Mus musculus: one gene and its partners. The protein of the gene in region 7 interacts with the protein of the main gene of each other region in a pairwise test. Links are inferred from orthologs where the notes say so. Each region holds a gene or a part of one and is shown on either strand. Other genes may lie near its edges.

What was found.
Region 1: the proteins of Ndn (region 7) and P4ha3 interact in a two-hybrid assay, tested with the Homo sapiens proteins (2 studies listed by BioGRID). The link is inferred for Mus musculus from reciprocal best matches to the Homo sapiens genes NDN and P4HA3.
Region 2: the proteins of Ndn (region 7) and Eef1akmt1 interact in a two-hybrid assay, tested with the Homo sapiens proteins (2 studies listed by BioGRID and IntAct). The link is inferred for Mus musculus from reciprocal best matches to the Homo sapiens genes NDN and EEF1AKMT1.
Region 3: the proteins of Ndn (region 7) and Mier2 interact in a two-hybrid assay, tested with the Homo sapiens proteins (2 studies listed by BioGRID and IntAct). The link is inferred for Mus musculus from reciprocal best matches to the Homo sapiens genes NDN and MIER2.
Region 4: the proteins of Ndn (region 7) and Fam131c interact in a two-hybrid assay, tested with the Homo sapiens proteins (2 studies listed by BioGRID and IntAct). The link is inferred for Mus musculus from reciprocal best matches to the Homo sapiens genes NDN and FAM131C.
Region 5: the proteins of Ndn (region 7) and Sertad3 interact in a two-hybrid assay, tested with the Homo sapiens proteins (2 studies listed by BioGRID and IntAct). The link is inferred for Mus musculus from reciprocal best matches to the Homo sapiens genes NDN and SERTAD3.
Region 6: the proteins of Ndn (region 7) and Ccdc136 interact in a two-hybrid assay, tested with the Homo sapiens proteins (2 studies listed by BioGRID). The link is inferred for Mus musculus from reciprocal best matches to the Homo sapiens genes NDN and CCDC136.

Annotation. Positions count from the first base shown.
Region 1 is NC_000073.6:100,292,020-100,295,519, forward strand, and holds part of P4ha3 (prolyl 4-hydroxylase subunit alpha-3 precursor), read left to right. Parts: intron 1-556; coding exon 557-699; intron 700-1,727; coding exon 1,728-1,951; intron 1,952-3,500. UniProt on the Homo sapiens protein: Catalyzes the post-translational formation of 4-hydroxyproline in -Xaa-Pro-Gly- sequences in collagens and other proteins.
Region 2 is NC_000080.6:57,568,783-57,572,840, reverse strand, and holds the start of Eef1akmt1 (EEF1A lysine methyltransferase 1), read left to right. Parts: upstream 1-1,258; 5' UTR 1,259-1,298; intron 1,299-2,916; exon of another isoform or gene 2,917-2,978; intron 2,979-4,058. UniProt on the Homo sapiens protein: Protein N-lysine methyltransferase that selectively catalyzes the trimethylation of EEF1A at 'Lys-79'.
Region 3 is NC_000076.6:79,552,329-79,556,628, reverse strand, and holds the start of Mier2 (mesoderm induction early response protein 2), read left to right. Parts: upstream 1-1,500; 5' UTR 1,501-1,546; coding exon 1,547-1,555; exon of another isoform or gene 1,556-1,670; coding exon of another isoform or gene 1,671-1,718; intron 1,719-1,731; exon of another isoform or gene 1,732-2,083; intron 2,084-4,300. UniProt on the Homo sapiens protein: Transcriptional repressor.
Region 4 is NC_000070.6:141,381,433-141,384,674, forward strand, and holds the end of Fam131c (protein FAM131C), read left to right. Parts: intron 1-894; coding exon 895-1,077; intron 1,078-1,311; coding exon 1,312-1,422; intron 1,423-1,955; coding exon 1,956-2,215; 3' UTR 2,216-2,742; downstream 2,743-3,242.
Region 5 is NC_000073.6:27,472,611-27,476,639, forward strand, and holds the start of Sertad3 (SERTA domain-containing protein 3), read left to right. Parts: upstream 1-1,229; 5' UTR 1,230-1,261; intron 1,262-3,529; 5' UTR 3,530-3,532; coding exon 3,533-4,029.
Region 6 is NC_000072.6:29,395,149-29,399,374, reverse strand, and holds the start of Ccdc136 (coiled-coil domain-containing protein 136), read right to left. Parts: upstream 2,801-4,226; 5' UTR 2,691-2,800; coding exon 2,633-2,690; intron 1,897-2,632; coding exon 1,789-1,896; intron 450-1,788; exon of another isoform or gene 341-449; intron 175-340; coding exon 1-174. UniProt on the Homo sapiens protein: May play a role in acrosome formation in spermatogenesis and in fertilization.
Region 7 is NC_000073.6:62,347,070-62,350,428, forward strand, and holds Ndn (necdin), read left to right. Parts: upstream 1-1,207; 5' UTR 1,208-1,338; coding exon 1,339-2,316; 3' UTR 2,317-2,859; downstream 2,860-3,359. UniProt on the Homo sapiens protein: Growth suppressor that facilitates the entry of the cell into cell cycle arrest.

The DNA of each region.
Region 1 (3,500 bases), about 38 Mb from region 7:
TGAACTATTTCCATGAGTTTCCAGAGGTTCAACACTTCAGTTTTTACACCATCACCCCCTTCCTAAAGAAGTAAGGGCTACTCAAACAGGAATTTGTAAAAGAATATTTTATTTGTCCTACTTTCTAAATCTGTTGTATGTGTTGAGATCAAGGTCATTATGTTTTAGCTCTATAAACATGTCTTAAATCATCCCTCAAGTCATACTTTTACCTGGATTGTAAATCTTTTTAGGAATCATGAGATTATCATTTGCCTCATGTATCACTTGTAAAATTCCATACTGTAACACATTTAACAAACTTTTGACATCAAGAAGAAGAAGAAGAAGAAAAAGAAGAAGAAGAAGAAGAAGAAGAAGAAGAAGAAGAAGAAGAAGAAGAAGTAGTAGTAGTAGTAGTAGTAGTAGTAGTAGTAGTAGTAGTAGTAGTAGTAGTGAGGGCTACAGGCAGGCACCGCTGTAGCCAGCTCCTGATTTTAGCAGTTCTCACCACAGCAGCCTCCCTGGGCTGTATCAGTTGTGTCTAGGTGAGATAATTCTTTCTTGTTTTGTTCAGATTCTATGACAAGGTACTTTCTTTGCACGAGGACTTGAAGATCCCTGTAGTGAATCCTCTACTTGCCTTCACTCTCATCAAACGTCTGCAGTCCGACTGGAGGAATGTGGTACATAGTCTGGAGGCCACTGAGAACATCCGAGGTAATGAGGATGCTTGTGAAATACGGGGGAAGCTTCTAGCTTCTGATTCGGTGGTAAGGAGGGAGACTCCGTTGAGTTACAGTGACGATTAGCAGAGCAGACAGAAACTACCTGAACTTCTAAGCTCCTTTAAGTCAATCGAGTTAGTCCTCTTGCTAATAGGTGTATGATTTTAGATAACAGGACACCTTCACCTCCATTACCTCACTTGATCGTCACTACAATCAAGTGAAGAAGTGTACTTCCACCCAGTTAAATGCGTGTATTTGTGTACCTATGTATGTGCAAAACATCATGGCCTTCCAGTAGTTTCTGTTTCAAGTTTCTAAATTTGAAAGTTAGAATACTGTAATGTGACCTGTAAAGAAATCACTTTCTAATTCATTCTATCTTGCACTATAAGAAGTTGGTTAGTTTGGGGCAGTTAAGAAGAAAAAGAGTTGCCTCTTGCTAAAGGGAAAGATTATAGATTCATGGGGTGGAGTGATACGACCAAGCCGTGTACCTTATTTCTTTTTACTTCCTCCATGCCATTGTTCTGAATGTCCTTCATCCAGATTATCATATCAAGCATCTACTCTGGAGGGCTGGAGAGATGCCTCAGTGGTTAAGAGCACTTGCTGCTCTTCCAAGAGGACCCAATTCAGATACCAATGCCTGCATCCCAACAGCTCACAACTGCCTGTAACTCCAGCTCCAGGAGAGCCCATGTGCTGCTCTTTGTACCCTCTCAGGTTACCTGGGCACGCTCACACACACACACACACACACACACACAAGCGCACACACTCACACACACATATACACACAACACACATGTATCCACTCATGCACACACATTCATGCATGCACATGTACACACACATGCACACACAAACACACACAATCTTTAACTAAAAGAATCCATTGTGTCCCAGGAGATGAGCTTGCTGCTGAGGGCTCTTTGAGCAGGTGGTCAGGTCTCACATGAGTGAAATGCCCATTGCCTGTGTTTGGAGGCGAGGGTCACAGTCTTTCTATTTTTACAGCTCTGAAGGATGGCTATGAGAAGGTAGAGCAAGACCTTCCTGCCTTTGAGGACCTCGAGGGAGCAGCAAGGGCCCTGATGCGGCTGCAGGATGTGTACATGCTCAACGTGAAGGGCTTGGCTCGAGGCGTCTTCCAGAGGGTCACGGGCTCCTCCATCACCGACCTGTACAGTCCCAGGCAGCTCTTCTCTCTCACAGCGGATGACTGCTTCCAAGTTGGCAAGGTGACATGCAAAGAAGTCCAACTGCTCGATTCTACTTTCTTATGGATGGACTGTGTCTCAGCTGTCTTTAGGTATTCCCTTTGCTTGAGGTAATGACAGGGTAGATCACTAAGACTGCATTGCAAAGTAGGAGGAGCTAAATTGAACCCCATCTTTTAGCTTCCCATGCTCTTGCCATAGGGATGAGAAGTCATCATATACTTAGGGCACAAGAAAAGCTTTTCTTTTCTTTCCAACAGGATATTGTGTATCCCAGGCTGGTGTTAAACTTGCCAGGGTCTTCCTGCCTCTACTTCTCCAGTGCTGGGATTACACCATGCCCATTTTTGCAGGGCTAGAAATCAAACCCAGGGTCTCATGTGTGCTTAACCAAGCACTTGAGCAACTGAGATACATTGTTTGCACACAAAATGGCTGGCCAGGCTGATAGACATGAACTAGGCAAAAACCATCAAAATTTTTTTGAAATTCTAACTATAAACCCTACAGTATCTGAACTATGGGTGGAAAGCAGAGAGAAGGGTAAACAGGAGGTTCTAGATGGCGATGTGAAGGTAAGATCACAGAAAGGGCCTGTGAGATGCTCTGGAACCCTTTGCTTTGTTCCCCAAGTCCTTAAAAATATCCAGCTAAGTTAGTGTAAAACAACCAAGGCTGTGCACCGCGATGTTACCTGAGGAAACAGACTTCAGGGATCGCCCATAGGTGTATGTAGCTGATTTTTGCTCATACTGAGTTGTTTTATAACATACTCTTTCCCAGCCTTACCTTCAAAGGTATGTGGTAATTCTTTTCCTTTAGAAGATATTTACTGCAGGAAAGTGTTATTGGTTTTTTTCCTTCCTACCCCTACCCAATGTTCATTAACAATGTGCTCCATGGTCCTAGTTCCAGGCTTGGGGAATCAGTCTCCTAGACCTACACAGAGTGGGTTCTCTGCTTACTGCTTCTCTCTCTCTCTCTCTCTCTCTCTCTCTCTCTCTCTCTCTCTCTCTGCAGTCTTGAGGAGCAGAGCAGGAGTCCTGCCATGAGCATGGCTAGTTCAACTAGTTGAGTGCACAGTACCAGTAAGTGCTCACTAATGGAGCCTCTTGGCCGTGTATTGAAAACCATAAACCATATGCTGAAAATTTTGTAAGCCAACTTCCTGAAAGTCTTGCTGCAAATCTTTATTTATTTGAAAGACAATGCATTTCAAATGTATCTGTATTTATTTGAAGGATAATGAATTTCAAATGTAAAGGTGGTACCTAGGACAATATCAAAAGCAGTTTTATCTATCTATTATCTATCTATCTATCTATCTATCTATCTATCTATCTATCTATCTATCTATCTATCTCTCTATCTATCTGTCATGTATGTGTATGTGTGTATACAGTTATATCTATAAATGCAGTGAAATTCATTTTCAATTTGGCTATATTAATTACACATTTTTCCTTCCTCCTACCATGTCACCGCCACCCAGGTCACCAGTGTCCTCTCCCTGCAGGGCATTATCTTCTGGGGTCAGCTTCCTCACTCTGCAGTTTATACTATAATGCAT
Region 2 (4,058 bases), on a different chromosome or scaffold from region 7:
CCCTGACCACTAGGGACCCAGGACCACATATTTCTATCTTAAGAGATCTTCCAAGGTATTCTCTCAGCACCATTACTAAATATAAAAGAAATAATTCCTTAATTAAAATGTGGGGGGCTGGTGAGATGGCTCAGTGGGTAAGAGCACCCGACTGCTCTTTCAAAGGTCCTGAGTTCAAATCCCAGCAACCACATGGTGGCTCACAACCATCTGTAATGGGATCGGGCTTCCTCTTCTGGAGTGTCTGAAGACAGCTACAGTGTACTTACATATAATAAATAATTATTAAAAAAAAATGTGATTTGAAAGCATCTTTTGGATCCAATTTGACTGAAAAACTTTTTCACTTCAATAAAGACTAGTTTGTCTTTGATACTAATTTTATGATCTGTGAGAAACATTTAATTACAATGTATACAGGCCAGCCAGAACTACATCAAGAAACTCTTGTTGAAAAAAAACCAAAAAGGTAGAGCTTTCTTGTGTCTTCAGACACTTTAATATTTAAAAATAGCATATAATTGAATACACGAAGATAATCATTGTGGCATACATACTTAAAAGGAATGGAAGCTTTAAAAAATTAGGTGCAAAATAGTTTGCTTTAAAACAGGTTTTTTTGAGTCTTATAAGTAGATGGTTTCTTCCTTTTCAATAGTTTTTTTTTCTTGATTGCCATTTTGATAAGTTACACTTGATTTGATCTATTTGGTTTAATAGAGTAGTCATTCGTTTAGAGAAATCGAAATCAAAATGAAGTATGGGTTTCTACAGACGAAACACTACTGTATGTAGAAATTGTGACAGTTCATTATCAAGCTGCTTTTTGAGTGGCGTCAGCATCTGAGCGGTGATTTAAAGCCCTTCAGCCAGATCAGGAAATCGATAAAGAGAGAACCGAACAGCAGGAACATAGTGAAGTTTGCCTGTCCCTGGGAAAGAAAAGATTACATGTGATTTAAGAATTGCCGAATCAAAGGGAGCATTAGTTTTGATTAAGGAAAACTGTGTGCCAGCTACCATGATAGATTGGTAAAATATGTGTTCATATACTGTGAATTCAACACTGAAAGCTCTGAAAGACTAATTGGTTTGAAAGGTTTAAGACTGACTCCAAAGTACCAAACAGCCAGACTACCGCAACCTAATTAAAACCTGGGTTGTAGAAGCCGGAAGCTGACTGGGCGGGACTAGACGCTCATTGGCTCCCACCGTCTGGTCTGCACCAGCGCAAACGCGGAGGTCCCCGCCAACCCTCACCCCACCCCCGCACTGTGACGACTGCGCATGCGTCAGTGGTGAGTGGCGGCCACGGAGTGTGGCGGCGGAGGGTCAAGGGATGTTTTGGGTGGGTTCCGAACCGGGTCCATACTGACCCTTGGAGACTTTCCCAGTAGGGGCCTCGTCTCTGCGGGGTCCTTCTTCTTGGACATCTTGAGCCGGAAACAAGTCCTTAGTGGTCCGGTCGGAATGGTGCCTGGGGAAGGGATATATATGCATGGACACGAGGAAGCCTTGAGCCTTAGCATGGGGTTTGGCTGGCCGGGCTGTTCATCCAAACTTACCTTGTTGTGTGTTTGTGGCTTGCTTTCTCTGTGCAAGTTTTATCTCAGGTCATGGTGGGATTTATTATTTTGAGATGGTCTCACTGTATAGCCAGGCTGGCCTCGAACTCAGACTCATTGATCCCTCATTTTTCCCGTGTCACCACACCCAACAATCTTTCTTTAAATAATAAACAGTATTTAGGAAGTGAAGGACTTCCCTCAGGCAGAGACTTGTATGAAAATGAAAGCACACGATTTTTATACACTCGAGATGCACAGGCAGACAGATCTCTGAGTTCAAGGCCAGCCTGGTCTACAGAGAATTTTCCTGGACAGCCAAGGCTACACAAAGAAATCCTATCATTCATTCATAGGTAGATAGATAGAGCAAGTTCTAGGACAGCCAAGGCAACACAACTGTCTTGAATCAATAAGATTACTTAGAGAATATCTGCCAGGCATTGTCATCTACAGAGTTCACGCTCAGGGAACAAACAAGTTGAGAACAATGTCATTTCTAGTGACTGTGGGTGCCTGTCTCTGAGCCGCAGGTTGAGCATACTTGACAGGTCATTCTATTCGCCTACTAGTACAGCTACCCTTCCTGCAGTTTACTAACGACTCTGGAAAGAAACTTTGTTTCATTCTCTTTCTGCTGGCTTAAACTCTCTTGACCTAAATATCTTGGAGAAGGTACTTAGATACTCTGACATACAGTATTGTTAGTTTTTTGTTGTTGCTTTCGTAGATCTGATGCATGGGAATAGAAGTTTGTTTTGATTTTGGGTTTTTTTTTTGGGGGGGGGGTTGGTTTTGTTTTTTTTTGTTTTTCCAGACAAGGTTTCTCTGTGTAGCCCTGGCTGTCCTGGAACTCACTCTGTAGACCAGGCTGGCCTCGAACTCAGAACTCCACCTGCCTCTGCCTCCTGAGTGCTGGGATTAAAGGCGTGCACCACCACGCCCGACTAGAACTAGAAGATTTTTATAGAAATGAAGAATCCCTGCTGCTGCTGCCGCTGCTGACCCTTTCCCCACGGTAGTCCCATCTTCCTGTAACCCCATTTCCATTTTTCCTATCAAGGCAAGGCCTTGACTTTATTTCCCATCAGGTTCTTCCCTGTTGCCCTTAGGTGCTGAGCCACATTTCTGACATAGAGCAATAGCTGTCTTGCCATTTCTTTGTCTCTGGGGTTTCTGGACCTCTGCACTAAGGATATTTTGGACAGATCTTTGAAGTAGAGGGTTGTCCTATGAACTGTAGAAAGTTCAGAGTCATAGCTGACCTTTGTCCACTGGTTGCCAGCAATGCCCTTGATTATGATAACCAAAAATGTTTCCAGCTGTTTGCAAGTCTTTCTCCTAGAAGAAGAGTGACTCCTGGCTCTCCCATGAGAACCACTGATCTAGAATATGAGCCAGTAAACACTCCAGGTCAGTTTAATATGACACAGCCCTTTTCAGACCTGCTTAACACAATTTCACAAACCTACTTAAAAAGCAATACAAAACAGCCACACAGCGTAACACACCTCAGGAGGCTGAGACAGTGGGATCATGAGTTTGAGGCTAGCCTAAGCTACATAGTGAGTTCCAGGAGAGCCTGGGCTACATAGTGAGACCCTGTCTTCTGTATTTCTTCTCCCCCACCCCCCTCAATATGGTTAGTAATGACAGGAACTTCTGTCTTCCACCACTACCTTAGTAAATAGAACTTTACCAAGCATAGTTCTCACACAGAGAAGTAACCACTGTATAATCTTATGGCTTTTATGAACTTTTTTTAATCTTCACAGTTTTGACCTTTATTTAAATGAAGTTATTTATATTTTCTTCGAGGAGTACTAGGGATTAACCCTGTGGTTTTGCACAGGCTAGCAAGCACTCTGCCACTAAGCCATAGCTCAAACCCTTAATATTTTAAATTTTATTACAGTATATCACTGAGTTTTGTATATGTATATTCATATTTCTGTATACATGTGTATATAGGATAAATAGATTTTTAGAAAGAGGACAACGAACTATGATGGGCAAGAGTGCTATGAATGCAAAAAATGAAAACAATTTAGCCCTTTTTCTGGAAATAAATGGGATTAAAAAATACAGCAACATATAAAAAAAATTTTACACTCATGATCCTCACCTAAGAAATTTTTTGTCACATAGGCATAAAAAAAAAATCAAATCAAACATTTACTGATAGTAACCACACATTTTATTTATTTTTCATTGAATGCGTTTGGGTGCTCTGCCTGCATGTATGTACATATGTGTGCCATGTGTGCGCCAAGTGCCTGCTAAGCCCAGTAGAGGGCATGGGTCTCTGAAACTGGAATTGCAGGTGCCCGTGAATCAGCATGTAGGCACTAGGAGCTGAGCCCGGGGCCTCTGCATGAGCAGCTGTGCTCTTAGCCACTCAGTCATCTCTTTAGCCCCTGTTAGCTTATTTTAAAGCAATTCTTTGGTGTATATGTAATTTTATTATTAAACATAAAGACAGATTTGCATACC
Region 3 (4,300 bases), on a different chromosome or scaffold from region 7:
GGCCTCTGTGGCACTTCCCTTGTTTTGTGGGTCATTAACTATCAAGTACTGAGTGTTGTTGATGGAACTTGGAGGCTTCTACAGTTCTCTCTCCTCTGACACTTCTGAAGAACACAGTCTCACCATTGAGCGGGACCTTCCCTTTTAGGCTGGGTCTGGAGCCCACACTTCTGTCAACAGTTTCTGAACTCTGGCCTGGATGAGAGATGTTGTCTAGGCATCACCTGAGGAAATGCTGAGTGTCCACCTCCCCTAATGATGCTCATATTTCCCAGCTGGCTGAAAGGTCACCTCAGTTCCCCATTGCAACTATCAGGTCCATGGGAAAGAAAGCCCTAACCTTGAAGAATCTTTCTGCTCATCCATTCATCCAATTGCTTAACCTTTGGTAATTGGTTAATTTGTGTGTGTTTGCTATTGTTGTTTGTCTTGACACATATAGGGTCTTACTACGTAGCCAAGGTTGTCCCAGAACTTGCTACATAGACCTCCAACTCACAGAGACCTGTTTGCCTCTGACTTCTGAGTGCTGGGATTAAAGGCTTGTGGCACCATACCCAGTAGCTTGGTTTCTTGAGGCAGGGTCTCGCTCCAAAGCCCATGCTAGCCTCAAACTGATAGTAACTCTCATGCCTCAGCCTCCTGGGCACTGGAGTTACAAGTATGGGCGACCATGCCTGGCTTTCTCTAGTGATCCTTGTCACAGTTCTCTTTTTGGGTTAGGACTGACTGACTCAGGTTCATGGAATGATGAACCCACCAAACGAGCAGGGGGCAGACTTTCTGTCTTGGGCAAATCCTCAGGGGTGGGAGACAGCTTTTGTGCTTGAACCTTAGTGGTGCCTTCACCTCCCAGCTTGGTCCTGGCCCCAGAGGGAAGGAAGAGTCATTTGGTGACTTGTGTAGACCAGAGGCCTTCACCTCTGCAAGCCTAGGTCTGCCCACCGGTCTGCCTCTCCCATTCTGTCTGCACCCTCCTGACAGCGAAAGTCAGGTTTGTGCACCTGTTCTGGAGGCTCTCATGCCCTGCTCTCTGTACCAGTGTCCTTCACCTCAGGACCACCCCCTCACCCCTAGACCATCCCTCACCTGTCAGTTGTTTCATCTCATTCTCCCTCATTTCAAGACATCCTCCCCTTCATCTCTGGACTATCCCCTCTCACCTCTAGTCCATTCCCCATCACTTCTGGACCTTCCCCTCACCTCCAGACCATACCCATTTCACTTCGGGACCCAAACCCCTCACTGCTAGATTGTCCCCTCACCTGTGGAACCTCTTCACTTGTAGACTGTTCTTCACCTGTGGCTTGTTCCCTGTTTGCGCCATCTCCCTCACCTGTGGACACACAGGAATCAGCTGATTGGCTGATGTACGGGCGTGGGGTACACCGGACCCAGGCTATAGATCTCCGCTCCTCGCCAGCACACCTACTACGCGCCTCCTGCGGCCCCGCCCCACTCCGCCTCCCAGCTCCTCCGCCAATAAGCGCGCGGCACCGCATCCGGGGACCCGCGCGGCCGCCGCCTCCCGCGCGCACGCTCGGCCATGGCGGAGGTGAGTGAGCGGCTGGGTAGCGGCCCCTCCCACACACTGCCCTGGGTCGACCTGGTCCGGCCCGTGCTCTCCCAGTCCGAGCGCCTCGAGCCTCCCCACTATTACCGGGCGGAGCATGAGCCCCGTGGGCGCCCGACGACCCCCCTTCCCCATCTCGGCTATGGTGCGCATGCGCGGGCGGGCGGGGGGGAGGGGCGCGAGGCGCGGGCGGCCGGGTGCGGGGCCGAGACCCGGGGCCGCGCGGCGGGAGGGCGCCGCGGACCGGGTGGGTGTGCGGCGCTGGCGTCTGGGACGGCGGCGCGGGGACCGCATTCCGGCGCGTTGGGGATGAGCAGGGCGCGGAGTCGGCGGCTCTCTGCGAGCGGAAAGTTTCGCGCGTGGAGTTCGTCTGGCTGTGGGAGCGAGAGCGCGGGCCTCCCCGCGGGTGCGGGGCTGCGGCGCACAGCCCAGAGCTGACCTGCACCTCGGGGTGCGGCCGCTGAACTCCGGGACCAGCCCCCAGCGACGCGCTGCGAATCCGCCACTCCGGTACTGGAACTCTGCACAGTGCGCGAGTGGGGCAGCTTGGGGCAGCAACAGGCCCGCGCGTGGGCCACAGGGTCGGGATCTGGGGGCCCCGTTGGACAACTCTGGCTGGTTGACTCAGAGGGTTCTTAGGGGTTTAGTTCCTTCTTTAGGGGGCCTTTGGGGAAGCAGACCTTCTGAAGACAAGATAGATCAACCGATACCCCTTTTGGGGCATGGCGGCCAAGTGGGTGCTCTTGGGCTGCTCTGCCCTGTGTGGCATGGGTGGTGGAGACTCCCCAGCCTGTGCTTACGTGCTCTCCTGGAGTCTAGGATTTGGAAGGGTTCTGCCTCAGTTTCCTCATCTTAAGTGGGAACCTGGTGGTGCCTTTCTATAACTGAGAGGGTGTTTTGCTGCATCCATGTTTTGAACTCATGAAAGTGGCAGTGGTTACATAGAAGTCCTCAGTGTCAGCTACTTGGTTAGTGTGTGTCTCAGCCATCTCTTTGAGCTGGTGGCTTGTCCCGTTCTTAGTCTAAGCCACACCTCTTCGCTGTGCCTATCCTTTGCAGTCCTCATGAGACCATCCAGCCCCTGGGTTTCTTTCTTGTAGTCGGAATTCCTACAGAGTTGCCTGTCAGTTGTCCCACTTCATCTGGTCTCTAGGACGCCACCTCTGACCCCAGCTGCCCAGCTCCCACCCGTTTTCTTCATTCCTGTCCCTTGGTTTAGCTCCCTTGTTTGTCCCATGTCCTAGCTCCATGTGGGTGGAGACAGGCTGAACCCGTCTCTCGGGATGTCCTAGCTGCCACGGTGGAGGGGCGAGGCTGGGACACCAGGGGCACGGGGCCCTTGCCTAGGTGTGGATGTGGGTCATTTCTCTTGAGAATGCTCTCTGACAACTCAGTATTCACTTGTTCTGACCTCTCATAATTCTTGGGGTCCTTTGTGGGTTGCAGTTTGTAGGAGTTAATGTTGAAACCTCTGCCCCTTTGGGGTGTGGGCTACAACCCTATTCGTGAGGTCTCTGTGTGGCTTGGGCTTCCTCACAGCTTGGAGTCTGTGCTCCAAAAGATGCTAGGTGGAATCGAGGGATGCGGCTTCCTGAGCGAGTACCTTTCCTTCTGTAGTCTCAGTCTGGCTAGATCTGGGTGCCGGAGTCTCCCTGGGAGACCTGCCTGGGGGGTGCTACCAGTGCTGTGTCCAGGCTCCTAGCTAAGAAGGCAGGGTGGCGGTATCCATGCTAACTTACTTTGTATCCTCTATTCTCAGACACCTTGCTGGGGGACCTTCTTGCCTCTTGCTTGGGGACCAGCCTTTAAGTGTTTGTCCTGTTGTCACCTGGATCATCTTAGGCTGGACTCCCTGCTTCCTCCTGACATAGAGATCTCAGGGACTTTGCTGGTCTTTGAGTTTTCCCAACATGGGGAAATAGGGCCTTGGAAACCCCCCTTTAAAGCGGCATTAAAGTGATGTGCCTGGTTGTCCAGTGACCCTGATGGTATCTATGCCTTAGTCAGTCTTGGGGACCTTGAGGGTCACCTGGAGATGAACTTGGCCCAGTTGGCAAGGAGCAGGCTGCATGGTCCCCAGGTTGGCTGTGTCTCCCACTGTCGGCTCTCAGCTCCTTTCTGCTTTCACCCTTGCTTGGCTCCACCCTACTGAGGATGCCTGACCCCTGACCTGAATGAAGCAGGAGGCTATTCCCATTCTGTCGAGATAGTGAGACTTTGGGACTATTGCTAGCTTGTCATGCACCTGTGGTGTCTCACCTCTAAGTTAGGGTTCCTGACAGCTGGGACAGAGAGCCAGTCCCTGGGCAGAGCCCACAGCCACCCATAGGGAGCTAGAGAGGGCTGGGCATGATTCCGAGGGCACCTGGGCTTCCTCCCTGTGGCTTCACGATGTTAGCCTGTGGGGCTGGTCCATGTCCATGTCCCAAGGTTTGAACGCAGCCGACACCTGGGCGAATGAGTGCCCCTGCGGCTGTCCCAGGTGGGCCCCCTCATCATCGGCTTGTTTAGCCCTCTGCCCCCAAGGGGGAGGTCACCCTCAAAAGCCTGTTGGGTTGTGGTCACTGTTGAACTAGAGCTTTGGGGGTTTCCTGGAACCTCTTCAGGAGGGTGTGGCCCTGTGTCCCCCACCGCTCCCTCACTGCATGGTGCAGTGCTCAGTGCAGGGACCTGGCTGCGTGTCTTTGGAGGTTCTTCTTGGTGTTGCTTGAGTAAGAACTTGACCTC
Region 4 (3,242 bases), on a different chromosome or scaffold from region 7:
ATTCCTGTGACGGTCTCATCTGACATTGGAGCTTGGGTTCCCCTAAGCCCGGCTTTAAGGGTCCTGGGGATGCCCGGATCTGTTCCCTACCTCGGTTAGTGGAGATGCTGGGCTGTTGATTCCTTGTCTCCATCCCCTTCCATATCCAGCCAGTCAGCTCATAAGCTTCCCCAGCCTTTCTCCTGTCTCGACCTGGCTCCCTACCATGGCCTCTGATTGCCCCAACTCCCATCTCCACCCTTGAACTTCAGTCTTTCAGTTGGGATACAACTGATATCCCAAGTAACAGATCTAACCTACGTCTTCCCTGGTTCCTGTCTGGCCATGTTGTAACCAAGGCTCTCCATTGCTGTAGAGATAACACCAAGTCTTCATCTCGGCTCCCTAGTCCCTGTCTGGCCGATGAAAGGCTCCCAGCCTCTAGTTGCCCTGTGTCCCATCCTTGGTTGTATGGTGTTGAGCCAGTACGTCTGTATCTTTAACCTTGTCTCATCTCTGAAATTCTGCCAGCCTGGCCACCATCTGTCCCACCCCAATAGGCCTTCAGAGAGCCCAATTCCAGGTCACCTCCTCCAGGTAGTACTCCCTGATGCACCTCCACTCACTAGAGTCTCAATCCACAGAGCTGTTCATCATGAGTGGAAGGGGCTGAGTCACATGGCCAGCCGGAGGAAGGAGTGGCTGGTTTGGGAAACTTGATCCAGATTCAATAAGACATTGGGAATGAGGGGGGCATACAAACGGGCGGGACATGGCGTGAAGGAGGGCATCAGACTGCGATGGCACAGAGCAGAATTGGTCGTGGTGACAGGATGGTCTGAGGTATTTGGGTGTCACGAGCGGGGGCTTACGTTGGGACGGCCACCCCATGAACAGCTATCCATGGCTTCACAGGGGTGGTGCAGAGCATCAAGGACCACATCACAAAGCCCACGGCCATGGCCCGTGGCCGAGTGGCCCACCTCATCGAGTGGAAAGGCTGGAGCGCCCAGCAGTCAGGCTGGGAGCTGTCCCCCGCAGAGGACGAACATTACTGCTGCCTCCCGGACGAGCTGCGCGAGGCGCGCTTTGCTGCGGGTGAGTGAGGGGTCACGGAGAGAGAGGCCACGGGCTGGGTGTTCAGCCTGAAGCGGGGTCTGAGCGAACCTGCGGTAAACGCGTAAACGCGCAGGATGGTGGGCGGGGCACTCACTCGGTGGCTTCCTCTCTCACAGCTCAGAGAGGCCCATGGAGGCATAGAGCGCCCCCTTCCCACCCCTGTGCTCACTGAGTCTAATCTTGCTGCCCCGCCCCCACTCCACCCACCCCCAGGGGTCGCTGAGCAGTTTGCCATCACGGAGGCCACTCTGAGTGCCTGGTCCTCTCTGGATGACGAAGAACTGCAGCCCGAGGACAGTACCCAGGGTGCCTTCCAGCTCCAAGGTACAGCAGGAACGACAAGGCAGGGTGGGTGGAGCAGCCCTCAGAGGGACGCCAAGGACTCTCAGCAGGGTTCCTTCCTTTCCTCCTCCCCCTTCTTCCCCAGCTACCTGGGGCTGGCAGCTCTGGCTCCAACATTCCCAGGGGCTGCGCTTATCAGAAAGGAGAGACTGGGTGGGGTGCAGCTTGAGCAGGCACTAGGTGGATTTTGGGTGCTGCTTTCCCAAACCTGGGTCCCAATGAAGCGTCCCTTAGCTCTTCTCACATGATTCTCCCTATGACTGGGAGTGTAGGGGACAGAGGACCAGAAAGAGAACCTCTTGTCCCAATACTCACTTCCTGCTCTTATCATCTCTGCTCCGTCCGTCATAGGGAGAAAACTGAGCTCAGAGAGACTTGGAGACCCACCTGAGGTCGCATAGCTTAACAGTGACATTGCAGGCCTCCTCACCCTGGCCTGGTCTCCCGCACCCTGGGAGGTAGGGCACAGGCACAGAATTCCATCTCTTCCCCTGTACCCCCATTTGGTTTTCTAGACCTCGAGAGCATCTACCTTCAGGACAGCCTCCTGAGCGGCCCTTCACAGGACGACAGTCTCCTAGCCTGCTCTCCTGGCCTCACCCTGAATGATGGCTGGCCCTCACCAGAGGAACCCCCTAGCCCCACCCAGCAGCACCACCGGCAGCGGCTGCCAGGGGCCCAGGGGCTCGATGACAGGGCCCACTTGCATGGCTCGCTGCCGTCGGTGGACAGTGGCTCTCTTTCAGAAGAGGAAGATGAAGTGTTTTACAACTGAGGCAAGATGGCCAGTCCGTTGTCTGCACACCCTGCTGGGAGCCCAGCTGTACCACTGTACCACGGGGCATCTCTCGACTCCTCCGTACAAACACAGGGTGGATCGTGGTGAGGAGGCTGGCTGTTACTCCTGTGCACCGCTCAGTGCCTCCATGGACCTGCTCACAGCCTGCTCCAGGACTCTAAGCAGACACCAGGGCAACCAGCCCCAGGAGAGCTGACAGTCGGGCCCCCAGGAGGACACCATGGAAAGATTGTTTGGAGGGGGGTCTGGGGAGCCAACCTCCACCTGGGCTCAGCCTGCCCCATTCAGTCTGGGCATCTGCCTGGAAGGTGGGACTGTTTCTCCTGGACTCTCTCTAGTCACTGGACTGTCTGTCTGTCCTTCCTCTCTTACCTGGTTCCTCTGTGACCGCCACCCCCCGCCCTGCCCCACTTCCCAGCCAAGAGGACCCACGTGTCCTCCCTCACACCCCCTCCCTCTCCCACAGGGTTCTCTGGTGACATTAAAGTAGTGTGTTAATCCCAGATGAACTTGACCTGGTCTTCCTGGGGAAAGTACATTGCTGAGCCCTGGATAAAGGTGTGAGGGGTTGGGAAAGGCTCCCACCTCCAACACACAAAACACTGGAGAGGCCTGGAGTGTCTTGATATTGCAAAGATCCACCCCCAGGGACCCTGCTTTACCCAGCTGTACCACAGGGAGACTGAGTCTGGAGGGCAGGGCCACACATATTCAAGGTCCTTGGATACGTGAAGCCAAGCATCAAAAGACCCAGTAGGGACTCTCTCTCCCTTCCATCTCCCCGCTACAGAGCAGAGGCTGAGGGGCCCCAAGCCCAGCCTTCGATGCTCTGTGATGATCTGTGAGCACCAGATGCCGCAAGAGCTTAACCTAGGCCAACACTAGAACCCAAGGGACCAATTGCAAACTCCTGAGGGAGAAGATGGGTGAACAGTGGCTCTGGGAATCAGCTTTAGTTTTATTTTCTCAGGAGCTACTGGCTGTGAATAGATAATCCCAGAAG
Region 5 (4,029 bases), about 35 Mb from region 7:
AGCAGGAAGATGAAAGATTCCAGAATAGCTTAGGCTACACAGCAAAACGCTGTCTCAGAAAACAAACAAAAAAGTGGCTGGGGATGTAGCTCAGTGATAAGAGTACTTTGGCTAGCACCACCTCGGTGTTCCGTGCCCAACACCACAAAAACTAAGCAAAAGGAATTTTCTTTAGGGACACACCTGCAGCTCCAGGACTAGCAATATGGAAGCCAAGCATGATTAGAATTTCAAGGCCCTTGTCTACACTGGAGTCCTGCTTCACGAGACTGCCTAAAACAAAAAGAATCCGAAAGTGAGTCCTAGAAAACAGGAAGGAGGGTACCAGAGACCAAATAGTGAAGAGCAAGCTAACCCTTCACTACGAAACCATATCACAAAATTAAACACACACACACACACACACACAAAATTTTAAATCTTAGCTCAGTTCTACGGTGTTTGTTCAAAATGCTCAAATGTTAAATCCCCAAAACTAAAAATAATAATAATAATAATAAGTTTGAGTTTGTTCCCAGAGTTGTGAGCAGTCTTTAAGAGTAAACAGCAACAGGCAGACAAATGCGGAAAACGAAAGCGTTGCCTGGGATCCAGGAGGTTCCCCCAAACAAGCAGCAGACCCCTCTAGGTTAAGCATAGACTCCTCCTACAAGACGGGTTGGGGGTGGGGAAGCAGAGCTCCGCCAGCTAAGGGGCGGGGCTGCGGTCGTTCAGGCAACGCAAGCCGCATCATGCTATTGGCTGCTGTCTAGTGCGTCATCCCCCCCCCCGCCCTCCGGTTTGACCCAGCCTTCGGAACTCCGGGGGGCGTGGCCTCCACCATCTGCCCCAAGCCTGCAAAACCGCAGGGAGGGGAGAATGGTGTCACCCGGTGTCACTCTTCAGTGGGGTCTGGTATAAGGGGTCTGCAGTGAAACAGAGGAGTGAGAAACACAGCTGGGTCCAAAGTAGCAGTTCTGACGGCGTTACCAGACTCCACCGTGGAGACTCCGCTCCGCCCCCTGACCAGTAGCCAACCTAAACCGGACCCGGCCCAGTGATGGACGGGGCCTAGCATCCGTGGCTCCTCTTAGCCAATGGCGCCCCGCGGCGGGCAGGATTCCAACCAATCCTGGCTTGCGACTGGCCTCCGGGGAGGAGCCGAGTGGCCCCCAGCCAGACCCAGAGGCCCGGGGAAAGTGAGCCGGACTTCTACCCAGCACTGGTGGAACCCAACCCTGCAGGCTTGTCGGAGGTAGTCGTGGCGACCCTGGCAGCCGAGGTGAGGAGTGGCCGCCTGTGTGAGATTTCCCTGGAGTTAGAGGAGGACGGGGGCGCGCCCCCACGGTAGGCGGAAGCGGGGTATCCCGAGTGGAGAGCAGATTGGTGTGATTGATGGACATTGGAGGGTGGAAGGCTGAATTCCAGCATCAGCACCGAAGGGGGAGCAGGATTACTCAGGAGTTGGAGTTTGGAGAAGCCAGGAAAACGGAGAAAGAACTTTGGAGGAGAGTGTAGGACAGTTTGAGTCTCGAAGAATAGGCTGAGTTTGGAGTTCCACGGTGTTCTGGACAAAGTGAGCGTTTTAAGGCTAGGATATGAAGCATTTAGAGGAACCCGGGAACTAGAGGAACCGAGTATTGGATTCTGAGACGCCGTCGTGAGAAGGGAATGCCGGGGAAGAGTTCACTGACTGGGTCTCGGAGCCGGACTGGGTATTTGGAAAGCCAGAGTCATTTGAAAGTGGAGCCGAATGAGGGGAGATTTGGGACGAGGTCTCAGAATTGGGATATCCAGTTTCGCCGGCGGAACTATGTACCCGAGAGTTATTTGTCGTCTTTGGGCGATGTGATGGGATTTGGACCTCTGCACACCGAGGACAGTTTGGGGAAGAATCCAGAACTTCCTGGGGTGATAGGGACCCAGAGAAAACAGGTTTCTGACTGAAGCCTGGTGGGGGAGGGGCGCTCGGGGCGTGGAGCTCGGATTCACCGCCCCGAAGGCAGTAGAGGGCGGGGCTCGGCGGCCGCTGGGCAGCTGAAGTCCGGGTTCCCTTCCCCCACCAGCCGGAGCTCCCGTACGCATGCTCTCAGAGAGGGCGGGCGTGTCCAGTCTCTTGGGTGTGCTGGGCCTTCTGGGGATTGTAGTTCCAACGCGACAGCCGAAGCTCTGCCTGGAGCCTTTGGGTCCACAGTTCCCAGAAGGCCCTGAGGATACATTGAGGTGTTCTTGGGTCTGGTCTAGCGACCCAGGGAAGGGTGGTGCCTATAAAAAGAGATGATTGGGTTGGACTGGTCGCTAGAGGGTGCAGTTTGTGGTTAGTTTCGCTCTAGCTGGCTTTCCTTTGGGTCGGAGTTTGGGAAATACTCCCTCTCTTTTGAGAGGTCATAGACTCAATTGTAGGAAGCAGGTACGGACAGAAATATTCTTGTTAAAAAAGGAGAAAAAAAAAAGAATTTAAACACACACGTCCCAGCTAAGCCTCGTCTCACACACATTTAATCCCAGCCTTCAGGGAGGAAGAGGCGGTACGATATGAGTTCGAGACACAGCCTGATCCACATAGGGAGTTCCAGAGCAATACAGAGAAACCCTGTCTCAAGTTTGGGTTTGGTCCATTACTCTGTGCTCCATACCTGTTTGTCCTGTGACCTGTTAGGAAAAAAGTATTGTGGGAAAACAATAACAAGATCTATTGAGACCAGAGTTAGGATTTTCACTTTCCAAATGTTAAAATTGATTACCATAATGTAAATTCAACGTTGTGCCTACCACAGACAAGTGATACTCAAGCCATGCCCGGATGTTTTGGTGATTTGTTTTAGGGCTTTTTTGTTTTTCTGAGACAGGTTTGTCTGACCATATTAAACTCTACCTGCTTCTGCCTCCTGGATGGGTGCTGAAATTAATGGCATAGGACACCATCTGCAATTTTTTTTTCTGTTCATTTTCCTATTTTAAATTTTATGTGTATGGATGTTTTGCCTGCATGCTTGTCTGGGCACTACTTGTGTGCCTGGTGGCAAAGGAGGCCAGAAGAAGCCATGGATCCTCTAAAAGTGGAGTTTTAGGCAGTCCTGAGCCATCCATGCAGGTTCTGGGGATCGAACTTGGATCCTCTAGAAGAACAGACAGTGCTCGTAACCACTCAGCAATTTTTCCAGCTCCTTTTATTTTTGAGACACTGCCTAGCTGAGGGTGACCTTGAACATCTGAACTCACTGCCTCCTTAATACAGAGGAGGTGACAGCTACAGGAGTCTCTCCACCCTCACTACTACCTGCTCCCACTCTGTGTCCTGTGCACCCCTCCTCACACTCACTTACCAGTCCCAGCAATCCTATCTGCATCTTGTTCTCTCAATCACATTGCATGCATTAATTTACCCATTCTTAGCCTTGTGGGATTCTCTGTGCACTTTAAATGGAGGTTCTGATACACACACACATACACACACACACACACACACACACAAAAGCTTCCCATAGCTACACAGGCTTGCTTGAAGAAGTAAGGTCCCAAGGTATCTGACTCCACTCTTTTTTCACAGGACATGGGAGGCTTAAAGAGGAAACATTCTGATTTGGAAGAGGAGGAGGAAGAGGAGAAGTGGGACTGGAGTCCAACAGCTCTTCGGAGCTACCAGCAAGCCCTGCTCCGAATCTCTCTGGACAAAGTCCAGCGCAGCCTGGGCCCCAGAGCACCCAGCCTCCGCAGGCACGTCCTTATCCACAACACACTCCAGCAGCTCCAGGCTGCCATTCGCCTCGCTCCAGCACCAGCCCTGCCCCCGGAACCTCTCTTCCTAGGTGAAGAAGATTTCTCCCTATCTACCACCATCGGTTCCATCCTCAGGGAGCTAGATACATCCATGGATGAGATGGAGCCGCCTCTGAATCCAGCAGCTTCCTCGAGTCCCCAGAATGAGATCGTGTCCCAGGCTGATCCTGTATTCTTAGAAGCTCTGAGCTCAAGGTACCTGGGAGACTCTGGCCTGGATGACTTCTTTCTGGACATTGATACATCTGCGGTGGAAAAGGACGTTGCACT
Region 6 (4,226 bases), on a different chromosome or scaffold from region 7:
GCACCTGGGCCCTCAGCTCCTCCAGCTCTGTCTCTGTCAGGCTCAGGCCCCGATGCTTGCCCATTGAAAGGGAGCCCAAACTGCCTCCTTTCTCTACTTGCTCTTCTTCGACCTCTTCCTCTTCCTCCTCTTCCTCCTCCTCTTCCTCATATAGAGCTGGAAGTAACACCTCCCCTAGGAGAGACAACCATCCCACCACACAGTCAGTGCCCAATCTAGAACCCTGCACCTTACCTCCCCAGGGCCTGGTCTGCAGAGTAGTGTCACCTGGTGTCCCCCGAGGTTCCCTGGGTAGAACCTAACTCATGGTCAGGCTCTGGTAGGTCAAATTTGGATGCACCTTCTCCAGCTTCCAAACGCCTAATATTGGACGTCTCCTGCCTGTCCAGCAGCCTTGTGCTGGCTCAGCTACAAGAAGCTTGCATGAGGACACCTGGCTCTAGTAGTCTGAACTCTGGGTAGTAGGACAAGGAGTTAAGAAAGGATTCAGACATTCAGACACCAGCTGTTTATGTAGGCCAAATGAAGCAAGCTTGGGGGAAAAACAACCTAGGTGGCTTGCAAGGTATTAGCCGTTTCATAATAAGAAAACACTGGCTTGGTCTGTAGATAGAAGAGGAAACATTAGGCGGAGTTGTTTACTGCATCCATTTTGGAACCCTTTCAAATGCATGTTGTCAAATATCTTTTTGAGGTTTTTCTACACCTGTTGTTTCCCTGTTGGGTACCACAAGGATCATCTCTTTCCTTCTGACCCAAGTTGATGTTGAGAGTTGTCAGGCTGAACTCATCTCAAAGAAAGTCTGCCATCTTAACACACTCTTCTAAACCACTCATTTATTTATTTACTGCATACGGGTGCTCTCCCTGCATGTGTGTCTGTCCATCATGGGAGGGCAATGCCCTTTCAGGTCAGAAGAGGGTATTAGAGCTTCTAAGACTGGAGTCACAGACAGCTGTGGGCTGCGATGTGGGTGCCGGGAACTGATCAATTGCTAAGCCATCTCTCCAGTCCTGTTGACACATTTGAAAAACTAATTTGGTACTGGTCCTCATGTTCAGACTCCTGAACACCTTTTTTTTCTCCTTCTTCTTCTTCACTGCAATGCAATCTTGTCTTGGTAGGGATTGCTTTGTTTTTAATCCTGGGTCTCTGGCCTTCCTTCCCTTTTCTAACACCAACAGCATACGGTTCATCTGAGACCCCTTATGTCATCTAGTCTCTAGGGAAGGCCTGTGCTGAACTACAGAGGGGCCTGGGGACACTTCACAAGAAGTCCTGGATAATGTGTTGGTACTGCCTGCCCTGTTACACGCGAGTGCTGTTGGGAAATAGACTCCATCTAGCCCTCTCCTAAGCACGTTCTTACTAAAGCTGCAGGGTTCCATTCAGAGTTGACGGTGGTGGCATCAGATAGACAGTTCTCATGCCCATGTCCTGGCTTTTAAAAATAAGAGACAGCTTGGGATCTGGGTCAGCAGGCAGTGAGAAGAACAAGCCCCCTGCCGAAAGCCTGTTTCCAGGCTGGGTTGAGCAGGGCCTCTCTCTGTCTGGCAGCTTCCCGGGACACACAACCTGGTTAGCTGGGTGATTGGCGCCCCAAAGGGATGTGCCCAAACTTCCCACAATGCCTGAGCCCAGGGGAGGCTTGGAGCTCAGCCACCAGGGAGGAGGGGCCTGAGATGAAGTGAGGGGAGGGCCCTGTTCTGGCTCAGAGTTCTGGGGTCAGGGAAGGAAGAAGGGAGCTACGGAGTAGGGCGATAGAAAGCCTTTTTCAGAAAACTCACCGTCCATAGCTTGCATCCCACGGCGCTCCAGAGACCCCCAGCGTTGGCCTTTCTTCCTCTCACAACCCTCAGATACCTCATAGGAGCCTAAAGTGGTTACTGTGGGTCCTGTGAGCCGGGAGAAAGTAAGAACTGTAGGAATAGAGGGGCCTGGGGCTGAGGGGAAAGAAAGGGACGTGCATTCTTATATGGGAGCCCCGGAATTTGCAATCACACTGGAGAAGCCTGACTCACTCTGCCCAGCTCTGTGATTCTATTCCCTCAGCCACCTCTCATGCCTATGGAGGGGACCCCAGTCCGGCGCGGCCCAACCTCAGCACCCCTGTTCCCGGCTCCTCTCCCTCGCTCAGACAGAAGAGGGTGAGTGTTTGTTTAGCTTGGGGCATAAGAAGAGGGGTAGGGTGGGAACTAGGAAAGAAGGTTTTGGGAGGATCCTATATAGCAAAGCAGAGAAGGGAGGGGTGGCCGGCTCAGGAGAGGAGAGAAGGGGCTCTAAACTAGGCCGTTTCTCTTTCTCTCCCCTTCCCTCCCTCACCAAACCTCGCCCACCCCACCCTCTCCCGGTGGTCAAGAGCTTTGATGAACTAGAAGGGTGCAGGCTCTAGAGACAACTCCCCCGCCCCCCTCGTGAGCTGGAAACACAATCGGGCTGGAGAGACTAACTGGGGAGCGCTTGGGGAGTGACCGCTGGGAAGGGACAACCCAGGTCGAAAGATGGAGAGCAGTATCCGGTGGAGGCCAGGGTGAAGGGAGCCGACTCAGTACCAGGAGCACCTGGGGGTCAGAAGGAAGGAGAGCCGTAGGGGGAAGGAGCATAGGGAGCTGAGAGAGAGGCCGCTCTGACCTGGGCCAGGGCAGCTCCAGCCCGCGGCTCCCGCGCCGGCCCCGCCGCCTGCCTCCATGGCTGCTCCCGCCGCCGCCGCCGCCTCCCGAGCAGAAGCCGCAGCCTCCGGGCCGGGGACCGGGAGCCCGGTGCGCAGGGAGGAGAGAGGGCGGGCCGAGAGGGCGGGGCCTGGCCTGGCCACCTGACGCGAGTGCCCGCCTGTGGCCGCCCGGAAACCCTCCCCCAGTCCCCGGCTCCAGACCCAGTGAGGACCAGCAAAAGAGGTTCAAAACACGTCACTAAAGTGCCCCAGGCTCGTCCGAGGCAGCTTCAGGTCTGCTGCGCCTGAAAAGCGGACGTGAGCTACCGGGTCTTGAGGATGCGCCCAAGGAGTGCTAGCATGGCTTGGTTCTGGCTGCAGAACCCACCCTGGGTCCGCCACGCCTAGGGACCTCAGGGGCTAGTCTTGACGGATGATAGAACCGGGGGGGGGGTGGGGGTGGGGGGGGATGGACTGTTTCCTGCAGATGCGCAAACACACGCGCACTTCCTTGGTTCCCACACAGAGCCAGCGTCCCCATCCCCGCAGTCCACAGAACCCATCCCTCCGGGTAGCCTCAAGCGCCCCAGAGCTACTGCAGGGCTGGCGGATAGTTGAGACCTGCATGTGCCAAGTGCTAGGTGGTGGTACATCACTGCTTTCCCCGAAATCCCACCCAGCCAGAGCTCTCCTCCCAGTGTACCAAGTCCCTCTTTCTTCCCAGCCCTTTGAGCCACGCCCTCTGTGACCTGTGCAGTGTGGGCATCATTGATGTTCCCTGTAACAAGAAATGTGGGAAACCACGAAGCTTTTTTTCAACTTTTCATCTATTTATTCAAGAGATGAACTTGGTCTTGAGGCAGATTTGACATCTCAGCAGGTCTCATTTAGGTCAGAAGTGGATACTCAGGAATCTGCTCCCCGAGTTATAATCGTGGAGAGATTTCTAAGCTTGGTACCTCACACCAGTTCTTTCTCATGTATTCTCACTCCTAAAGTTTGGGCATGGCTTGGCTGGGTTCAACTCCCCAGGCTACTGGGCTCTCAAGCCCTCCATGTTCCTCAGGAATGAAGCAATTCCCTGCACATCTCAGGCTTATCAGTAATTTCAGCATTGTGTTGAGAGTTACTCTCCAGACACCCCATCCCTTCCTTTTTTTAGACTCTCCTGCTGTGCTCTTCTGACCCTCTGGGCAGCATCAGAGTATTGCCTGCTGTTAAGGTTGGGAAGTATCCTAGTTATCTTTGTATCTTCAGTATCAAAGTACCTGACTCATGGAGTAAATGAGTAACATGGAGCTTCCGACTAAGTTAACAACGCCTTCATCATTTATCCCAGATTTTTAACTCATGAATTTAAACTCACGTTCCCTATTAACAATGATGTCTGCCAGGCAGTGATGGCTCACACCTTTAATCCCAGCACCTGGGAGTCAGAGGCAGGCGGATCTATATGATTTAGAAGCCAGCCTGGTCTACCGAGTTAGTTCCAGGACAGCCAAGGCTACACAGAGAAACCCTGTCTCAAAAACCAAAAACCAACAAAACAAAAAAGTCCAGAAGTCAGTAGTAATT
Region 7 (3,359 bases):
GTGATGAGAAGGGCTAAGGAATTCCATTATTTCAGAACAAGAAAGATGATCAAATCTAAGGACTTCTGGCTTTGGAAGCTTCAACAATGGTCATTGTATAAAGGAGAGTTTGAGGAAATATCAGCTTTAGATGACCTCTCGATCTACCTTTTTATTTTTGGACACCAATATGTTGCATCTTATTCATGAGAGACTGTTAGGTATCGAAAAGAGCTGCATTTAAAATATATTGGGAAAGATTTGGATGTGCTCCCAACATGGAATTAGTCATTTGTGAATGACATAATTTAAGAAGTAGAAGATTTCTTATAAACGCAGAAGATGCAGTGAGCAGGGCAAAAAGGTAGTGGGAAAATATGAAAAATACACTGTCATAAAATGTGTATTAATAAATATGTTGATCATTTTCCACTAGAATCTTAACGGAAGCTTTAGATGAAAACAAAGTGACCTAATAGAAATGGAGAGCCCAAATCTATAGTTATTAAAATAATTCAAAACCAACAAACTGAGCATCCAATGATGAATGAATGCATATATATATATTTTATATATCCCTCATTTTCATGTGGGGCCTGGGGGATTTAAATTCTGGTTCTCATGCTTGAACTGCAAAAGCTCTTAACCACTGAACCAAGTCTCATTTTAATTAAAATTTTAAACTCCCATCAATTATGCTATATGAATCTACTACTTCTAGAACATTCAAATCTCACATGGATTTATCTCCAGTGTCTGTAACTACACTTTACATTCTTCCTTGTTTGATCTGCATTCAGATATGTAAGAATTTATCTCTATTAATAATTTCTCAATATTCCAATCTTAAACAACTCATCATCATCATAAGGTACAGCTTTCCAAAAGAAAAAAGAAAAAAAAGTCATTTCTGTTTCTCTTATTCTTTTGTAGAAAAACCAAAATCAAGAATTAAGTCTTTCTCCAGGACCTTCACATTTAATTTGATTTTGCACAAACTCAGTGTGTCCGAACTTAACTTCACCATCTCAGCTACATCTTTCTCCTTCAACTTGTTTCTTTCCCTACCATCATCTAGTTCTGTGCCATACAGGAGACCAGGAAATCTTTTACATAAGCCTAGTGGTACCCTCCCTTAGACCCCAGTGGTTGGGCTTTGCTGCTTCGCTCCTTTCCAGCCCTACCACCCTTCTGGCTTCCCAACACGCATGCGCAATATCGCATCAGCCCCGCCCGCCCGCTGCTGCGGAAGGCGCAGTGCTCAGTAAAGCGCACTTCCTCTGCTGGTCTCCACCGAGGGAGTGCCCGCTCCAAGAGCTCCAAGCCGCATCGGTCCTGCTCTGATCCGAAGGCGCAGACATGTCGGAACAAAGTAAGGACCTGAGCGACCCTAACTTTGCAGCCGAGGTCCCCGACTGTGAGATGCAGGACAGCGATGCCGTTCCGGTGGGGATCCCTCCTCCCGCTTCTCTGGCCGCTAACCTCGCAGGGCCACCGTGCGCTCCCGAAGGCCCTATGGCAGCCCAACAGGCCTCGCCACCGCCCGAAGAACGGATAGAAGATGTTGACCCTAAAATCCTGCAGCAGGCCGCAGAGGAGGGCCGCGCCCACCAGCCCCAGAGTCCAGCCCGGCCGATCCCAGCACCGCCAGCCCCTGCCCAGCTGGTGCAGAAGGCGCACGAGCTCATGTGGTACGTGTTGGTGAAGGACCAGAAGAGGATGGTCCTCTGGTTTCCAGACATGGTGAAAGAGGTCATGGGCAGCTACAAGAAATGGTGCAGAAGCATCCTCAGGCGCACCAGCGTCATCCTCGCCAGAGTGTTCGGGCTGCACCTGAGGCTGACCAATCTCCACACCATGGAGTTTGCCCTGGTCAAAGCCCTCAGCCCAGAGGAGCTAGACAGGGTGGCGCTCAACAACCGTATGCCCATGACAGGCCTCCTGCTCATGATCCTGAGCCTCATCTATGTGAAGGGCCGCGGGGCCAGAGAGGGTGCGGTCTGGAATGTGCTGCGCATCCTGGGGCTGAGGCCCTGGAAGAAGCACTCCACCTTCGGAGACGTGAGGAAGATAATCACCGAGGAGTTCGTCCAGCAGAATTACCTGAAGTACCAGCGTGTGCCCCACATCGAGCCTCCCGAGTACGAGTTCTTCTGGGGGTCCAGAGCTAACCGTGAAATCACCAAGATGCAGATCATGGAGTTCCTGGCCAGAGTCTTCAAGAAAGATCCCCAGGCGTGGCCTTCCCGATACAGGGAGGCTCTGGAGCAGGCCAGAGCTCTGCGGGAGGCTAATCTTGCTGCCCAGGCCCCCCGCAGCAGTGTCTCTGAGGACTAAAAAGGTCCAGGGGCACACTGATAGTTTCTGACCCATACTAGGGCTGTGTAAGGGTGGGGTTGAGTCATTAGAGTATCCCAAATCCACAGTGCAGTATTTCATGTATAATTTTTAAGTTTTCCATACAGTGCTTTTGTACCTTGTAATGCTATTCATTTGTGTACTCGTGTAGTGTTTAAGATTGATGCATGTGTGATAAGTATTTGGTACTTTCACTTTTGTGCTTTCGTGCATTTTTGTACAAGAGATGTGCTGTGCTAAACTTGTGAAATACATTGAGGTGTTCTGTATCTTGTTCTTTGTATGGGACTGATGATCTGTATCGACAAAGAAGGCCCTGGAGAGTTAGCAGGACTTAACAGCAACGCAGACCTGAGCAAGAGAAAGGTCAAGGCCTTTCTCCATATGACTTCAACTGGCACAGGAAGCATCCATGTGGAATGGACTGATTTGAACTGGACTGTTCTCAGTGTAGGCACTTAGCACCCTTTACAAAACATGTATGCAACCCCACCATAAATAAACGTTAAAATGAGCATTAAAGATACTGTGAAATAATTTCTTGGGGGGGGGGAGGAGGCATTTATTTTTGATGAAAGGGGGAGTGGGAATGGGTGGGGATGAGAAAGATTCTCCCTGTGTGCAGCATAAGCAAACACGGTGTCCTAACACAGTGGGAGACCACACGACCACTCAGAAGAAACTTGCAGTGCTTTAATCAATTTGTCACATAAAAGGTATAACAACAACAACAAAAAAGCTCATTATCACATAACATGGGGATAATAACAGGTATATGGAGGGCCTGCCCCTTTTCTGTTGCATTTTTTAAAATAGTCTTTGATGGACACTTTAGCAGAATAAACCCTTATCATGCATTTTCTTCTTTATTTTGTCCTCCCACCAGCCATAAGAAGTAAGGAATAACTGTATCATCACAGAGCAAGAAAAAATAAAAGGGGTGTTGGTAATGAACTATCCTAAAACCTTTATACAGGAGTCTTGACACCAAGCTCCCCATGGCCACCACTCACACACGCACT